Macaca fascicularis: one gene and its partners. The protein of the gene in region 3 purifies or fractionates together with the protein of the main gene of each other region. This does not show direct contact. Links are inferred from orthologs where the notes say so. Each region holds a gene or a part of one and is shown on either strand. Other genes may lie near its edges.

Region 1 (3,528 bases), about 96 Mb from region 3:
AACCACACACACAAGGGGAAAAAAAGGCTGGTGGTAACCAGCCATAACAAAAATATATTCTTTGTATTCTATCATCCCTCAGGTTCATCTTGCATGTTTGCTTTAAACCACAAACGGCTACTGCACAGTTCTTATATGTTCCAAGGAAAATTGTCTTTTAGGCTATGAAAGATTCAAAAAAATTGTTTTCAGTACAAAAAGTCTTAAGAGAAAATAATTTTTGCTCCCAAAATACTACAAGGTGTCTCTAGTGTATGTCTAGTGTACTCTGTGAGAGGTTTGAATTCAAGTCTGAGTTATCGGTGCTGAGTCCCAGGTCTGTGGCGCTTGCACCATGGAGGTTTGCCATGCCTGGATTGCTAGCAAGCTGAGAAAGCATTGAATTCTGGTCCGGGCTGGCAAAATGCCCTTGTTCCATGGGGTTGGCCTGGGCAGCTACCAGTCCAGGATGCGGGGAACTTGTCTGTGGGGAAACGTGGTGTGGAGAAGGCTGAGGCTGCATCCTTGGAGAAGGGCTGGAGTGGGGGGGCTGGGACTGTGGCCGTGGAGAAGGGACAGGCTGCGGAGAGCGCACTTGATTGGAGAGAGAATTAGGGATCTGCTGGCCTTGTAGGTGTGGAGACTGGGCCTGATTTGGGAGCATATGCTGCTGGGGGCTCATGGGGTTGGGCTGAGCAGGAGACCCCATCTGTTGCTGAAGGAGTCGCTGCTGATAGGCCTGTAGACTGGCACCTGCCTCTGCTCCCAAGGCCTGGGGGAGCTGGCCCATCTGTCCCATATTTCCTTGTTGCATCTGTTGCATGTGATGTTGCATCCGCTGCTGCTGCTGTGGTGGGTAGCCAACTCCTTGGGGTTGCTGGAACTGGTTATGGTTAGCCATTCCTGGGCCTATTCCTGGCCCTGCTCCCTGTTGCTGCTGCTGTTGCATCATCTGTTGTCGTCTCAAGATGTCTCGGAATTGTGAAGGCATGGTGTTGTGGTTCATGTTCATCTGCTGAGACTGGGGGCTCATCCCTCCCATGGGCGGCTGGAGTTGCTGCTGGGGTTGCTGCTGGGGCAGGCCAGCCCTCTGGACGCCCGCCTGCATTGGATTCATGTTCTGCATGGCTGGATTGGAGTGGACCCCCTGCTGACCTGGCATGGTAGGTGGCTGCAGCCCTGGCTGCCCCTGGGGCATGCCAGGCTGCCCAGGGATGGGTTGTGGATTAGAGTTGGCATACTTGGCAGCCCGCTGCTTGATGAATGCAGCCAACAGCTGGGGGTTGGCGTGAAGGATACTAAGCACCTGTTGCTGCTGTAGGGGAGAGCTGGGAGACCTGAGAGTCCGCAAAAGGTTTTGTAAGGCTTGTTGAGACACAGTGCCTGGTTTGAGTGGGCTCACACCTACCTGGCCCAATCCTGGTTGTGGAGCCATGTTCAAGGGTTGACCATGCTGGGCCACTGACATCATGGCTGGCCTTGGCATCCCAGACTGTAGTTGCTGGGGCTGAGGCAATCCTCCTTGGCCCCAGGGTGGCTGTTGCTGCATCCCCGTCGGTCCCATCCCTGGCTCCAAATGCCCACTGGGACCTCTGGTCATGGGAGGTGGGTTCATACCCATGGGGGCCATGGGAGTCATCGGGGGCATCTGATGTTGGATTGGCCTTTGAAAAATTTGCACGTGGGCCATCTGGCGCTGCGTCTCTGCTGCTCTCTGAATCTGCATTGCCATTTCCACTGCTGCAGGTGGGGGCCCTGGAAGGGGTGGCTGAGCAGTCTGAGGAGGGGTTGGAGGGGTCACCTGGCCTGCTGCCTTACCCTGGGACACAGGGCCAGCAGCTTGAGTCCTGGGCAAGTAGGGTGGCATACTATTGGGAGGGGTAGGCTGAGGCTGAGAGGTGGGCTGGGGCGTCTGTGGGGTGGTTGGCTGTTGGCCAGTTGGTGTCGTTGGAGTGGCAGGAGTGGGGGAAGGGAGGCCCTGTTGCTGCCCGACCACACCAGTCCGCTGCATGCTGGCCATCCTTCTGCGAAGCATTTGGGCCTGTTGTAGTCGGTGCTGCAGCTGCTGCTGCCGGAGCTTCTGCTTGATGTTTAGGCAGAACGGCACTGGGCATTTGTTCTCCTGGCAGTGCTTGGCATGGTAGCAGCAGAGGGCGATGAGCTGCTTGCAGATGGGGCACCCGCCATTGGTTTTCCGTTTGCAACCCTTGGTATGCTGCACAACCCGCTTCATCTTCTGGCAGGATGGCAGGGAGCAATTGGCATTCCGACACTGGCAAGCATGGACCAGAGACTGGATGCAGCGCTGGATACTCAGGCGGCGAGAATCGCCTGGGCTCTGGGTGGCTGCAGCCTGCTGGTTGTTGCTCTCATCATCTAAGCCAAGACCTAGTTTCTCCATTTTGTGGTCATGGTTTTTAGTGTTATAGCAGGTGATACACAAGTCATAATCCTAGAGAAAAAACAGGAAGTGCAGGTAAACTCTCCAAGATTTAAGTCATTCAAAAGTATTTTGGATACTCTCTGGGCTGGAAAAGCCCCTTTTGTAGAACAAAAACCAGCCTCTTCAGCTCTGCCTCGCAAACACAAGGCCAGGCCCCTGCCATCCCACAGGCCTATATACAACACGAGGCTGCATGGCCCCTCAGAACAACCCTGCAGAGCTCACCTCCTTGTTCCCACAACCCAGTGCCTACCTCACAGACAGTACAGTGCCAGCGTGTCTCCACATGGTGCTTGCATTCATTGCAGGTGTAGACAAAGCGGTCCTGGCTCTGCGTGTGCAGCTCCACCAGCATGCACATGGTGGACCACTGGGCTCTTCGGAGTGAAGAGAACTCCAGGTGCTTGTCTCTTGCCAGCGTGAGAAACGCATCCCGACCATCCATCAGATCACAGGGGATGAGAGGGTCAGGATCAACAATGGGAGGCAGGGAGTTGGCAGTAGGGCCAGCAATGAGGCGGATCACAAAGAAGACCTGCAAAACACACAATCTCTTTTTTTGAGACAGGGCCTCGGTCTGTCACCCAGACTGGAGTGCAGTGGTGTGCTCTTGGCTCACTACAACCTCTGCCTCCTGGGCTCAAGCAATTATCCCACCTTGGCTTCCTGAATAGCTGAGACCACAGGCCCACACCACCACGCCTGGCTAATTTCTGCATTTTTTGTAGAGACGAGGTTTTACCATGTTACCCAGGCTAGTCTCAAACTCCTGAGCTCAAGTGATCTGCCTGTTTCAGCCTCCCAGAGTGCTGGGATTACAGGTGTGAGCAGGTAAAGCAGGCTAAGCATCAATGAGACTGGCGAATGCTTAGTTTTTTTTTTTTTTTTTTTTTTTTTTTGAGACAGTGTCTCTGTCACCCAGGGTGGAGTGCAGTGGCCAGATCTCGGCTCACTGCAAGCTCCGCCTCCCGGGTTTACGCCATTCTTCTGCCTCAGCCTCCCGAGTAGCTGGGACTACAGGCACCTGCCACCTCGCCCGGCTAGTTTTTTTTTTTTGTATTTTTTTAGTAGAGACGGGGTTTCACTGTGTTAGCCAGGATGGTCTC
Region 2 (4,839 bases), on a different chromosome or scaffold from region 3:
GGGGGCTTAGAATTAGAGTCATGATTATCTTGGCCTTTGACCTTTATGATAAAACCTGAGATCCAGGGTAATCAAACTCAAATTCACATTACTAAGTATGTGACAGAAGCATCTTAGCCTATGTCATTTCTGGCTCCTGAGGGCTATCATTGGGATGGGCACTAATGCTACTGTTATTATTCAGATTCCCCATTTAAAATGTATCTTACTAATGGTATCCAATTGAATGTCAGAAGTTTTACAGTCTGGGCCAAATTATTAGGTGACAGTGGCTGCCACCTCATCCTTGCCCTCCACAACTTGCCCATATTTCAAGCAGTATGTCTTAAGGACACACTGGCAGCATCCCATTCCCTTTCTTCTCCCACTCTCCCGGTCCGGCACTCTCTCTAAATATAAGGGGTGGAAGGGTGCATGATGGTCAAATATAGGTAACAGACTGTAGCTTGAGTACCATCTAAATCTCATCTGTCGCTTCCAGAGTGTGGGATGTAAATACAGGTGAAATGCTAAACACGTTGATTCACCATTGTGAAGCAGTTCTGCACTTGCGTTTCAATAATGGCATGATGGTGACCTGCTCCAAAGATCGTTCCATTGCTGTATGGGATATGGCCTCCCCAACTGACATTACCCTCCGGAGGGTGCTGGTCGGACACCGAGCTGCTGTCAATGTTGTAGACTTTGATGACAAGTACATCGTTTCTGCATCTGGGGATAGAACTATAAAGGTAATAAGGCATTTTTCAGTAAGTTTCCAACTTAGAATGGGGAAATTCATATGAAAATTTGATCAGGGGCAATTTCATATTTAAACATTGGTGCAGAAAAATGTAATATTTAATTCAGAGACTATTCTACAAGTGAAAAGGTAATAAGTGAGACGTTGTGTGACAATTTGGCCGAGGTATTTTATTCCTATAAATAATGGTGAGTGTGAGAAGATACTAACCCTAGAAGAGTAAATCAATTTGAGGAATTCTCATGTGATAACAGCCAACTGCAAATTAGCCTCTGTTACCATGAATTTAAATTGTCCTTTGTTTTATTTGTTTGAGAAGTTGACTTCCCTCTAATGGTTCAGCCCTGTTTTCTGCTTCCCTAAGACTCCAGTTGCCATAGATTTTACCAGTAAAAGCACCAAATCAACTGCTCAATGCCATTTTCTTTTTCAGGTATGGAACACAAGTACTTGTGAATTTGTAAGGACCTTAAATGGACACAAACGAGGCATTGCCTGTTTGCAGTACAGGGACAGGCTGGTAGTGAGTGGCTCATCTGACAACACTATCAGGTGAGCACCTAGTACCTTGTATCATAAGGGATCGATATTATGCTCCCATTCATTACTAATGCACAGATCATACAAGTCTGTAATTTTGTTATGTTTATAATCAACTGTGTTTCCTTTCTGTAGCTTCTTACAGATCAGAAGTTTGCCCCAAGCAGAGAAGCAGCACAGCAAAGCCTTTTGTTGCCCTTCTTTTTAAATTTCTCCTGTCTACAGTTGAAAAGTGCTAATAAACAGCTAAAAGCCTTTTCTTTGCCATTGTTTTCAAGAAATGAAAAGATTTGTTTCCTTACTAGAAATTATGTAATTTTTGTCTTAGCATTACATAATTGGCCAGAGTTACCTGTATTTGAAATTATGAAGGTTTCACAGTTGGAAGCCCTTTTTGGGGTGTTCTCTTCACAAAGACGAATGACATAGTCATGATTAGAATTTGGAAGATTTATCCATCATTACCCTTCAGTGAAGTACTAAAAGGATGAAAAGGCCATTAAAAAAACAACAGATAGAGCTACTGTTTGTTATATCTAAGGAAATTATTCCTAGAAGTCACTTGAATTGCTCTGAAAACATACAGTTTTTTAAATTAGTACACAAAAGTTTTTGAGAACTGACTTTGCATTTCCATTCTCTGAGAATAACTGTCCTGGACAGTGGTAAAAGAAGTGTCCACCATGGCAGAGGGGGAGGTGCTTTGTGAGAACAGGACATCGCTGATAATCTGTATCTTATTCAGTTTGATGACTTCAGGAAACTACTTTCTTAGCTCAGTCATTTCCTGCTCAGGCAACTGTGTGCATTGAGTTCGTTTTTATACCTGGAAGAACCTGTTTACAGAATTATATAAAGCACTGTGCTTTGAAAATACATTTTATGTTTGAACTTAAACCTACATTTTTCTGTGTGAGTTATATAGCAGAAAGGAAATAAATTACATTGAAAGCAGTACATATCTGTGTGGGTGGTGATTGATTTTATTTTGTGAATTTTTAGAAGGCATATAAAGTGTATTATAACATTCCAGGCTTAGAAAAGAATACGTGAAAATTCACTTGACTCAATTTTCTCTTCCAGATTATGGGACATAGAATGTGGTGCATGTTTACGAGTGTTAGAAGGCCATGAGGAATTGGTGCGTTGTATTCGATTTGATAACAAGAGGATAGTCAGTGGGGCCTATGATGGGTGAGTGTGCTAACAGGGTGTAAAAAGAGAAAATCTACGTCTTAATCCTTCCTTATGTTTATGGTGTTAAACATTACCATTCCTTGTTTCTAAAGCTTATAGATTTTACACAAAGTGATACCATATTTCTTTAATCTGTATATTTACCTCTCCTTGGTTTAGTGTCCTGAAATATTCTTTCCAATCATTTTATTATACTTGTTTGCACATGGTTGTCATTCATATTTTGGTTATTTGGTTATGTATTTCACTGTTTTGCCCTGTAAAGCAAAACAAGAAAAACCCAGTGTTAACAGGCTACCCATGTAAAGTGGTAACCTGTTAACAAAACACAAACACTAGAGGGCAGTATTTGGGGATTTAGTGTGGTAAGATCTCCAATTTTGATCTCTTGGATTTTTTATCTCTTTTAGTAATTTTTAAAAGTACAGTTCTCTTGTCATCACTTGTCATCCTAGCATTTCATTTATGAGTTTAGTCATCTTTATTTTCTTCTAATTTCTAGTGGTTATGGAATCCATTAATGTTGTGAATGGACCCCACGTCCACCAATCCTAAGCACAGTGGCTTGTGCATGTAATCCCAACACTTTGGGAGACCGAGACAGGTGGATACTTGAGGTCAGGAGTTCAAGACCAGCCTGGCCAACATGGCAAAACCCAGTCTCTACTAAAAGTACAAAAATTAGCCAGGTGTGGTTGCAGGTGCCTGTAATCTCAGCTACTCAGGAGACTGAGGCAGGAGAATTGCTTGAACCAGGGAGGCAGAGGTTGCAGTGAGCCAAGATTGCACCACCATGCTCCAGCCTGGGCGACAGAGCAAGACTCCGTCTCCAAAAAAAAAAAAAAAAAAAAAAAAGTTATTCACTTACGAAGGACTCCTTATCATTTCTTTTTGTCAAACTGCCTGATTTGGGGGGTGAAGGGTAGAAAGCTACAGTTCAAATATTGGCAACTTTTTAAATATCAGAAACTAACAACATTATTTTAGTTCATGAGCTAACTATACTGATACATTAATTAGCCAATGCAAGCAGCAAGAAGCTGCTCACTTCTTCTGCTTTGGGTCAGCCATCACTGTTACAACCTTGGGAAACTGTTCAGAGTGTGGTGACATGTTCCAGCTTGGTCAAGACAATATTTTCTTATTGCCCTGGCTTTGATCTGTACCCACCTGTCTTGGAATTTGTCTGTTATGTACCTTGAGGAAACATGGCCTATAAAAGGTTGTTGGAAGAGCTACACTTATTTAAATCAAAAGATGAGGGCTTACTTATATAAACTCCATTGCTCTTACATGGACCCCAGTCCCTCAGTACATGTGACCTGGGCCACTCTTAGAAGTGACCAGGAAGAGGATGCCTCAGAGTTGTAGATTTCTAGGTCTATGTAATATCATTAGGAGGTCTAATGTACAAGATCTCCTCTTGATCCCAAAGTGTGGTTTAACTTTACTATTAAATGTCTTCAGTTTGGTTAAAGCTAGCCTGTTTCTCATTTGTAGGTTAATCACGTACATTTCAACTATACTCACCATCCATATTTATTGCCATGAATTTCTGCTGTTCTTCCCTGTGTTCTCTTACTTTTGCTTTTAACTAGCATTTTTGTCCCCTTTTTGATCTTTAGAAAAATTAAAGTGTGGGATCTTGTGGCTGCTTTGGACCCCCGTGCTCCTGCAGGGACACTCTGTCTACGGACCCTTGTGGTAAGAGCCTTGCTGTTAGAGCATTGGAGAGCAGGTGGGGGAAGAAATTAAACATTGATGTGCTGTGGAATATGGATTTGAATTTAATAGTTACAACCTCACAAAACCTACAACTAAGTGGTAAGGCAACCAGTACATGACAATAAAATATGTTTATATAATTCCTTTCATCCAAAAATGCTTTAGAGACTATATATGGAGAGAAATGTGGCAGCTGTTTAACAGCTGCACAGAAACTCTACACAACAGTTTAGTGCAGGAAGTGAATAAGAATTCTGTATCCACCAGAAACAGCAGGGGGTACTAAGGGAGAGAGAATATAATTACTCAAATTGGAACCTGTCCAAAATCTGAGGACCTGTACACCTGTGCCTTCAAAAATTACCCTGGGGGCTGGGTGCGGTGGCTCATGCCTATTATCCCAGCACTTTGGGAGGTCAAAGCGGATGGATCACCTGAGGTCAGGAGTTCAAGACCAGCTTGACCAACATGGTGAAACCCTATCTCTACTGAAAATAAAAACAAATTAGCTGAGCATGGTGGTGAGCGCCTGTAATCCCAGCTACTCGGGAGGCTGAAGCAAGAGAATCGCTTGAACCTGAGAGGCAGAGGTTGCAGTGAGCCGAGATCACACTTGCACTCCAGCCTGGGCAACA
Region 3 (5,268 bases):
TGGTACTCCTGGCAAGTGTGAAATCGGCACCAGGCCGGTGGGGACAAAGGGCGCCGAGGGGGGCACCGTACATGCGATACCCCCGGATTAAAGGGGCCTGCCACGCAGTGCGCCAGCAGCTGCGACTGGAACAGGTGCTGGGCACCCCTGCCCCATGCACCTGCTCCACCCCTCCCAGCCCCCACCCACTGGGCCCACCATTAAGGCACACAATGGGAGTCAATGAGGACCGAAATGATACATTTCAAGGGGATTTCTGTGCCTCAGCCATGCCTTTACATTAAAATAATGTCCGGATGGGAGGCGAGAGAGGCAGGCAGGAGAGCAGCATCCTGAGGGGTTCAAATCTCCCAAAATAGAGCCCTGTGAGCTGGGCAGGCACGGGGAGCCCAGCAGTTGGACCTTTACATGTTAAAATCAGGGCTACTGGTGCAGGAAGGAAAAGAAATGGGTAGCCTTAGTCGAATAAGATGCCAATAAAGCCCGCGAAATGCCAGTCCTCCCAGATACCTCACTGACCCTCACTGCTCAGAGGTCAGGCGCCGGGCCAGGAATGGTAGAACCTGGCCAGCTTGAACCCTGTGGAATCTTCTCCCTCAACTGTCCCTCTCCAAAGAGCAGCTCCAGGCACAGTGGCTGCCACCGTTCAAGTTCTAAAAAGTTCTACCTTTTCTCCATGTCCAGAAAGTTTTCTACATATTTAGTAAATTTTCGAAAGACGTGATTGTGTTTTCTGCCCTAAAATTGCTGTTTTCTGGTGTGTGTGCTAGGATTGAGTGGGGGTGGGGAAGCCGACCTGAGAACTATTCGGGTATAATAAATTACTATAAAGTGATTAGCCACCTTTACAGCCACTCTCTTTTTTTTTTTTTTTTTTTGAGACGGAGTCTCGCTCTGTCGCCCAGGCTGGAGTGCAGTGGCCGCATCTCAGCTCCGCCTCCCGGGTCTACGCCATTCTCCTGCCTCAGCCTCCCGAGTAGCTGGGACTACAGGCGCCTGCCACCTCACCCGGCTAGTTTTTTGTATTTTTTTTAGTAGAGACGGGGTTTCACCATGTTAGCCAGGCTGGTCTCGATCTCCTGACCTTGTGATCCGCCCGTCTCGGCCTCCCAAAGTGCTGGGATTACAGGCTTGAGCCACTGCGCCCGGCCTACAGCCACTCTCTAAAACATATGCCATCATAATTCTCCCGAGTCTCAGAGAGGTTAAGTTGCTTGCCCAAAGTCACACAGCAGGGAAGCAGAGCAAATGCCAAGGAACCATTTTTGTGACAGTTTAGCAGGTACCCGGCACTTTGCCAGGTGATTCCCATATGCATTCCTGCATTTAGCCCGTACAGAAACCCCACAAGCTGTTCTCATGCCCATCTGAAAGATAGAGAAAATGAGGCTCACAGAAGTGAAACATCAGCCTAAGCTTTGAGAAAGTTCTCAAAGGATTCAGAGCCAGGTGGGGGGTCTGACAACATCCTGTCTGGCTAGGGAGGGGGCGGACCGGGAGAGGGTGGGGCTGGGTGGGCCCCTTCACACCTGTGGCCCCCAGAGCAAGGTGTTGGTTGCACTTTTCCGATATCCAGCTCCAGCCCATTTGGCTGAGAAACAGGCTGCAGGGATTGGGAAGGTGTCTGCTTTGCTCATCTGCTTAGCTGATGAAGGAACGTTTCTGCCAAACATTTCCAGAGAGCAGGCCCCTGAACTTGAGCTAGAAGTTAGGAGACTCGGGGCCTCAGTGTCCACAACTTTGCGAATGAGAACAGCAAGTCCCAATTCACAAAGCTGCCACAGAAAGCAACGGTGGGGGCGCCTGGAGGGGCACTTACCAGTGTGGGTCCGGACATGGCCTTGTAGCAGCCAGGGCCTGGAGAAGGCCTTCCCGCAGGTTCCGCAGACGCAGGGCAGCGTGTGGCTTCGGATGTGCATCTTGAGGGCACCCAGGCTGAGGTATTCCTTGTTGCAGTATTTGCAGTTGAAGGCCTTTCGAGACTGGAGATCCTTGGCCTCAGAGAGCTGGGCCAGCTGCTTGGGCACTTGGCCCAAGCCTGGGAAGGCAGCATAGGCCTCAGCCTCCAAGGAAGAGGCTGAAGTAGAGGAGAAGGACGAAGTAGCCGGTGAGGGTGGGCTGGGAGGCTGGGAGCCTTTCCCACTGTCCTCGTCCGACAGGGAGGTCAGCTCTGCCGCCCTGGGACTCTCCTGGGGCCGAAGGGAGGCCCAGGCAATTGGCTGGGCTTGGGGCGCCAGGACAGAGTCCCAGATGAGCATTGGCAGCGAGGCGGTGGGATTGAGGATCTCTGGAGGTGGGATGGCTGCCAGCAGGTGGGCCTGGTCGTAGGGCTGCTGGAAGGTAAACTCTGAGAGAGAAAAAGCAGAGTCAGGCGTTAATTAAATCATTCACTCAATCAACAAACATGAACCCACCGCTGGCCAGGGGCTGGGTAGGGCTGATTCTCAACACATAATTAGATCAAAAAAATGATCCACAGGACAGACCAGGTTCCTGCCCTCCTGGCCCAGGTCACCCAATCTGAGTCTCTCACAGGTAGGACCCCCAGTTGAAGGGGGTCATTTCCAGATCTCCCTCTCCTAAGTCCCAAGTCCCCAGCCTGAGGCCAGAACCCCATCACCCCAGCCCTGGAGCCACCACCCTGCCCCAATCCCCCTCCTCACACACATCTCGTCTCCCCACCCCTCCCCTCAACCCTCTGGACTCCGGACTCTCCCCAGCAGCGTCCAGAGGGCCTTCCTGACACAGGCCTCCTCTCCCACTCTCGCGGAGCTCCTCCGCCTCTCGCCGGCTACACAGGCCACCCAAGCACAAAACCCCTGCTCTCTACACAGCACTCCCCCAACCACCCAGACCGATCCCCAGGACTGGGGACCCACCTGCCCGGTCTCCCGAGCCCGAGCCCGAGCCCGCAATGCTCCACAAAACACCCTGTGACTCGATCCTGGCTCAGACAGGCCGCCTCCCTCAGGTGGCCCCCACGCAGCCTTCGCCTGTCTCCCCCAAACCTCCTGGAGCCCACCACCCCTCCAACACACCTGGATTAGAGTCCTGCAGCTCGCTGTAGTTAGGCTTCCGATTGGGGTCGGAGGGCTTTCTGACGAGGAAAGAGCGCGGCATGGTGGCCGAGGCACTGGGGTCGCCGAGTCGCGCAGGAGCAGCGCAAACGTACCACTCACAAGGCCGGACCGCGGCGCAATGAGAGCAGCCGCGCCGCCAACTCCCTTAAATACTCCAAGGGGGTGGGAGGGGAGGGGCCTCATCTGCCACGCCCCTTTGTCACCTCCGCGCCAATCGGAGGCCCGTCTCCGCCGAAGGCCACTCCCCGAGCAGGTGCGCCGGGGGCTGGCCGGGCTCGCGCCGCGTGGCGCTGGGAGCCCGGGCGGGGGCTCCTCCGAGGCGGAGTTCGCAGGCGCAGCGCGGGTCGTCCGTGGTGCTCGGACTGTCCGGGGCGGGACGTCGAGCGAAGCGAGGCCCCTGCGAGGTGGGACCCCGCCAGAACGCCGCGCGCCCACCTGCTCAGCGCCCCGTGGTCGGAGCGCTTCTGACGCCCCCTGGCGCTGCGCGCGGGCCGGGACACCTGACCTTCCGACGCCCGCCCCCGCCTCGGGCTTAGGAGGGGGCGGAAATTTCCTCCGCCCGGCTGGCGCCTGGAGAGCGTGGCATTGACGAGGGAAATGCACATTGCTGGGGAGGAAGCGAGGAAACGGACACCGCACGTGGCTCCTGGCGGCGTGAAATGCTACGGCCGTTTTGCAAAGCAGCCTGGCCCAGCTAGCGAAGAGCGCCCGTTCCTTCCCTTAGCCAGTGTTTGCGGAGGGCCCAGCTGTACCTGGGGCAGGGCACAGCCCCGGACAGGACATTCAAGGCCTCTCCCGAAGGGTAGCTCCCGGTCCAGTGGGGGAGACAGACGAAGTAAACAGACAATTACAATGCAAAGGGAAGTGTGCTTTGGCGGGGGAGAGACGGGACGCAGCGACCGTTAAGAGGCGGGTCACCTGACAGGGGGTCGGGGTGACTTCCCAGAGGAAGTGAAGAATTATCAAGGGAAAAGGCCCGAGGGAAGAAGTGGCAACTGCTTCAGAGTAACTCCTAGAGAGCAGCTCTCAGGGATGGCGTGGGGTGGGCAGGCCCGGAGGGGTCAGATGTGCTGTGCCCCAGGGCCTCGTAGGAGGTTGGACTTTGCCTCAAAGGCACTGGGGAGCCACCGAAGGATTTTCAGCTGACGAGGGACCTGGTTAGAGTTTCGTAGAAAAAGATCCTTGTAGGCCGGCGGGAGAAAGAAGGGATGGGCCGGGCGTGTCTCCTCACCCCTGTGAAGATCCTCGATCCTGTGTCTAAAGGCTCTAACGTTGCTCTGTAGGGGCCCTGACTGAATGCATGTGGGGTGGGCCCAGGTGAGGGGCAGCTGCACCCCCACCCCAGCTTCCCTGGGAGGCATACCAGGCCCGGGAGTAGCGCTGAAATAAACCTCACAGGTCTCACCGTTCTTGTTTCCACCTGTGAAGGAAGACTAGAAAAACCTATAAGCACCCCACACCACCACCAGCAACATGAAGGGCAGAACTACTGTCTGTTTTGGTCACTTGGTGCCGGATGTAACAGCCGTGAACAAAATCGTCTTCCCCTGTTTCTAGCTGGAGAGTGGGGAGTAGGGTGGAGGACATAGGCAGGAAGCAGTTATTAGGCGGAATACTCTCCCTCCCGTGTCAATTTAGCTCCAATCAGGATCCTCTGCTGGAAGCCAGAGTGAGGCCAGAGCACCCCCTCCTCTGCTCAAACCCTCCCATGCGCCTGTCTCAGAGTAAAAGCCAAAGTCCTTTCCTCGGCCAACTCGGCCCCGCTGCTCTGACCCCGGCTGACCTTGGCTTGAGCCTCTCTCCCTCCCCCATGAACAAGGATCCCTCCCCCACCCTTCCTTCTGTTCCTCCAACATCCCAGACCTTTCCCACCGTGGCACCTGCTGCTCCTCCTCTCCCCTACGTCTTTTGCTCCTAGATCTTCACGCTGGCTTCCTTTCATTCTTTGTTTCAGCAGCAACTTTACCAACTGCTCAGCCTCGTTTAATAAAGAGAGAAATGGCAATTTCAAGCCACAGTGAGCTGCCATTTCACGCCCATCCGAAGGACAACAAGGAAAAATTTGGTCACAATCAAGAGTTGATGAGGAGGTGAGAGCTGGCGAGAGTGTCGGTGGGCAGAGTCACTTTGGGAAAGTTTGGCATCAGCTAGCAACAGGTGACTCCTCTCCCTGTCTGTCCTCAAACCA
Region 4 (4,480 bases), on a different chromosome or scaffold from region 3:
GGAATACTATGCAGCCATAAAAAAGGATGTGTTCATATCCTTTGCAGGGACATGGATGAAGCTGGAAACCATCATTCTCAGTAGACTATCACAAGGACAGAAAATCAAACACCTGCATGTTCTCACTCATAGGTGGGAATTGAACAATGAAAACACTTGGACACAGGGCAGGGAACATCACACACCAGGGCCTTTTAGGGTGTGGAGGCTGGGGAAGGGATAGCATTAGGAGACATACATAATGTAGATGACAGGTTGATGGTTGCAGCAAACTACCATGGCACGTGTATACCTGTGTAACAAACCTGCATGTTCTGCACATGTACCCTAGAACTTAAAGTATAATAGAATAAAAAAAATGAAGTTAGGCATAAAATAATGGGTACTGTAGTTACACAGGATTCAAAATATCAAAATAAATCGAGTTGTATATGTGAGGATAGTGATTACCTTCGTGGGCTGTGACTTGAAGGGAGCTCATCTGGATCTGCTGGGGTGCTGGGAATGTTCTGGTTCTGTATGGGTTCTATTACAGGATTCCATTCAACTTTTTACAAAAAGAATCATTGATGTGAATGCTATGTGCACTTTTCTGAATGCACATATATGTCAATAAAAAATGTAAAAAACTACACATTCCTGATCATTAAGAACAGGAGCCCCAACCCCCTGGCCGTGGACTGGTACAGGTCCATGGCTTGTTAGGAACCGGGCCACACAACAGGTGAGTAGCAGGTGAGCATTAGTCAGAAAACTTTGCCCAAGAAAGACGCATTCCAGAGAGAAATATCATTAAAATTGGATATTCCAAGGGGCACGGGAGTTGGCCAGTTTTCTAGAAGAATACTGAAAGCATAGGGCAGCCCAGCCTTGACCTTGCAGGGACAGAGAGCTCCAGGAACTTTGATGTTATCACTCGTCACTTACTGAGAACATGGACAGAAGGTGCTTCAGGTCCGTGAGGGTCAGAGATGCAGAGGTCCACAGAGCTACCCCAACCCTAGGAGAACTTTGTATTTCAAAAGCAGGTGTTCCATCATGGTAAGGAGGTAATATCCCCTCAGGCAGCGATCAGAGCCCAGATGGCCTTCTATCACCACAGCGGCTATGATGGGGAAGGCTGTAATGGGGAAGTACAGAAGATTCTTGACCTGGGTCTTCAGTCCAAGATCAAATATTTCAAATGGAGAAGAGGGGACAGCCCAGGCAGGAAAAAAACGTGCAATGTTAAAGACACGTTACTATTAATCATATTCAGAGTTATCAAGTATTTCAGGATTAAGGAACGAGGACTGAATGAGATAGACTGAGACACGGTTTTTTAAATTTTATTTTTTACTTTTAGGAAGTCTTTTTGCAAACCATACAAGATATAATAGAGATCTCATCAAAGATGACACCCTAGAGATGGAGAGGAGAAAACAAAACTTAAGTCCCATAAAGAAGGCAGAAACACGTTTTTGGTTGATCAAGATGAGTTTGGGCCAAATATAAGGAGGGAATCACAAAGCCATCTGGGGCAGGAATGTTGATGATGAAGTGACTTCCCTGCTAAAGCTCGCTTGCTGGGATCCAGATGCCTCTGCAGAGAGAAAGGTGGTTCAGAGTTCATGGGGAAAATAGGCAGGGTTTGTGGCTGAGAAGTGGTGCCAATGGGGAGAATGGCAGTGTCCAGAGAAAGCCATCAATAGTCAGTGGATCCTTGTGATCCAATATTTAGTGGACAGAGGGTTAGAGGGGCTGTGTTTCTTCCTCCGTCATTGAAACCAGGACTGAAGAAGGGCCGCAGAGGTCCTGTAAAGGCACATTCAGAGAAGGAGTAGATGAGGGAGCCATGGTCAGTGATGTTGTAGAAGGAGACCATGCCGGCCTCATAGTCCAGGAAAATCCCAATTTGGCATGGAGGCACCTGAAGGTGGAGGGGGGTCTGGGGGTAGGTGCCAGCCTCATATTTTTGTTTGTTCCACAACCAAATTGTCCAGAAGCCACTCTTGGAACTAAGCAAAAAGTGCCCCTTCCTGCGCACAGAGTCTCTGCAGACACCCAGGTCCCAGGCCTCCTTTCCTGTCACATCTACCTCCCAGTAATGTTTTCCAGAGTGGAAGTGCTGGGCACCCAGGACCATAGGATAACTATCAAATCTCTCTTCATTTCCAGGTATGCTCTGCTGGGTGTCTCCAAGCCTCACTTGTCTCCGATCTTCTGAAAGTATGAGCCATGGATTGGCTGTGTCTGGATCCAGAGTGATGTGGACTGCAGAGAGAGGACCATAGTCATGTCTTGCATGGGGGGAGTCACTAACTCTGTGCCTGTGGTGGGGGGATTTTGGGCAAGCATGAGGGGTCAACCTCCCTGTGTGAGGAAATGACCATCAGCCAGTTCTTGCCTTGGTCCTGACCTTTGAAGAAACCATCTTCCTTACCTCCATCTCTGCTCCCCCTGCTCTGACCTTCCATCTCTCCTCCAAGTTGCCATCCAGGCTCCCTGACCCTGGGATCTACTCTGCACCCCCATTATCCCCCGCAAAATTCCTAGAGCTTGCCTCACCTGCACATGTCCTCAGCATCTTCTTCAGCCCTGGCACATGGCACACACTCCTGAGTTCTGGAGAGGCAATATCCAGGCCCTTCAGGTTCCAGGACTCACTCCTGGGGGAAAGAGAGTTTGAGACTCCTGTCTCTTACTCCTATCCCAAACCCTAACACTATAACCTCCATTGTGGAGGACTCTGATAATTTAATTCAACTCAAATTTACAAACACTTCTGGTGTTCAAGTCTTCAGGGGTGGGTGTGAGAGGCAAACAATGCAGGATTTAGTTTCTACCCAGGAGTTCCTGGTTATAGGCTGCAGCATGTGGACAGTCTGTCTCTCCTCTCTAAGCCTGAGGTCACCTGGCAAATGCATTCAATTTCATTTTATAGGCAATCCATCTGAGACAGGCTGAATCACTTCTGCAAGGAACCTCAAGGAGTCTTGCCCACACTGTGGGTCTGACTCATGGCTCTTTTTGGGAGGTAACTTGTTAGATTCCACTGAGAAAAGGAGTTCCAGCTGGCCATGCTCCAGTAGTCTGAATTCTGGAAAGACACAGAACTTCCCAGGATTTCCCTGTTTGGCAGGGCTTTACTGTGTGAAGATGTTACGATCCAACTACTGTGGGCAATCACCAACTAAGATGTCCACTTATTAGCTTTCTGAGACCAGAAAATATTTTATAGACAATGAAGTCTTTGAGAATAGGAAGCCAGATGGGGAAAACTTCAGTGCATGTATTTCTAATTCAATAACCTTTGTCATAGGCATATATGCTTTCTGCTGGCCCCTCTTCTAAAAAAGAAAACTCCTCCTTACCTTTCCAGGACAATTATCACCTCCTGAGGAGAAAAGAGACACAGAGTAAGTTCTGGATTGCTGGATTGCCACTGAGACATTAGCCCTGTGGGTGATGTGATCCATCTGTGGTCCCTGGGGAACTGTTCCTTTCCTTCCTCTGGTCCAAAGCCCCAAAGATGATTCTGACCAGCTTGAAGCAGAAAGGATGTGTGGATGCTTGTGAGGTAACCAGAAGCCCAGCATGGATGTGACCTACAGCTGGGGAAGGATTATCAGTTTGAGGACTCTGACTCAAAGACCAGATTTTTTTCCCCCAGGGGAGAAAGAAAGGAGGGCAGAGAGGGCACATAGCCCAGCTTGGCTTAAGCCCAATCACAGGCAGAGAATGGCCAAGTTCAGGTGTCTAGAAACTGCTCTGTTCCATTTGTGGGCTAGCATTGCTTGGGAAGGAAAGGTTGGTTAGTTAAAGTTCCCTTGGGTACTTAATGTTGCCCCTTCCTGTATGTGAAACCAAATCACTGAAAATATTTTTGTTATAGGGATTGGGAGCCATTACATGGGAGCTAGCAGGATCCTAGACTCAGTTAAAAGTATGTTAGAAAGCCTGGTTCATGGCCAGGCATGGTGGCTCACACCTGTAATCCCAGCACTTTGGGAGGCTGAGGTGGGAGTCTGAGGTTGGGAGTTCAAGACCAGCCTGACCAACATGGAGAAACCCCATCTCTACTAGGGATGCAAAATTAGCCAGGTGTGGTGATGTAAGGCTGAGGCAGGAGAATCGCTTGAACCCGGGAGGTGGAGGTTGCAGTGAGGCAAGACCGCGCCATTGTACTCCAGCCCGGGCAACAAGAGTGAAACTCCATCTCAAAATAAATAAATAAATAAATAATAAATAAATAAATAAATAAATAAGAAAGCCTGGTTTGGGCAGAAGAGAGCCTGTCAAGTCAACCCAATACAATTAGGTTTTCTGCACACACCAGAAAGCAATGGCTCATGACCACGCTGAGTCACAGTGAACAGGGGTGAAGAAAGAACTGTAGAATGTTAGAACAGAAGGGACTTGTGAGACGATCTAGTCCATCATTTCGTACAGTGAGGCAAACATATCATTGGTGGATGCAAGATGATTCTAAGTGCAACAT

The links. Proteins that work in one complex are often made in the same cells at the same time.
Region 1: the proteins of SNAI1 (region 3) and EP300 purify together in Homo sapiens (affinity purification with western blotting; 3 studies listed by BioGRID and IntAct, with this or other methods). This does not show direct contact. The link is inferred for Macaca fascicularis from reciprocal best matches to the Homo sapiens genes SNAI1 and EP300.
Region 2: the proteins of SNAI1 (region 3) and BTRC purify together in Homo sapiens (affinity purification with western blotting; 7 studies listed by BioGRID and IntAct, with this or other methods). This does not show direct contact. The link is inferred for Macaca fascicularis from reciprocal best matches to the Homo sapiens genes SNAI1 and BTRC.
Region 4: the proteins of SNAI1 (region 3) and TRIM21 purify together in Homo sapiens (affinity purification with western blotting; 3 studies listed by BioGRID, with this or other methods). This does not show direct contact. The link is inferred for Macaca fascicularis from reciprocal best matches to the Homo sapiens genes SNAI1 and TRIM21.

The regions. Positions count from the first base shown.
Region 1 is NC_088384.1:10,439,486-10,443,013, forward strand, and holds part of EP300 (histone acetyltransferase p300), read right to left. Parts: intron 2,958-3,528; coding exon 2,676-2,957; intron 2,432-2,675; coding exon 248-2,431; 3' UTR 1-247. UniProt on the Homo sapiens protein: Functions as a histone acetyltransferase and regulates transcription via chromatin remodeling. Acetylates all four core histones in nucleosomes. Histone acetylation gives an epigenetic tag for transcriptional activation.
Region 2 is NC_088383.1:110,505,483-110,510,321, forward strand, and holds part of BTRC (F-box/WD repeat-containing protein 1A), read left to right. Parts: intron 1-481; coding exon 482-731; intron 732-1,175; coding exon 1,176-1,294; intron 1,295-2,365; coding exon 2,366-2,476; intron 2,477-4,104; coding exon 4,105-4,183; intron 4,184-4,839. UniProt on the Homo sapiens protein: Substrate recognition component of a SCF (SKP1-CUL1-F-box protein) E3 ubiquitin-protein ligase complex which mediates the ubiquitination and subsequent proteasomal degradation of target proteins. Recognizes and binds to phosphorylated target proteins.
Region 3 is NC_088384.1:106,066,706-106,071,973, reverse strand, and holds the start of SNAI1 (zinc finger protein SNAI1), read right to left. Parts: upstream 3,201-5,268; 5' UTR 3,121-3,200; coding exon 3,039-3,120; intron 2,348-3,038; coding exon 1,820-2,347; intron 1-1,819. UniProt on the Homo sapiens protein: Involved in induction of the epithelial to mesenchymal transition (EMT), formation and maintenance of embryonic mesoderm, growth arrest, survival and cell migration.
Region 4 is NC_088388.1:70,009,550-70,014,029, reverse strand, and holds the end of TRIM21 (E3 ubiquitin-protein ligase TRIM21), read right to left. Parts: intron 3,377-4,480; coding exon 3,354-3,376; intron 2,649-3,353; coding exon 2,548-2,648; intron 2,254-2,547; coding exon 1,685-2,253; 3' UTR 1,313-1,684; downstream 1-1,312. UniProt on the Homo sapiens protein: E3 ubiquitin-protein ligase whose activity is dependent on E2 enzymes, UBE2D1, UBE2D2, UBE2E1 and UBE2E2.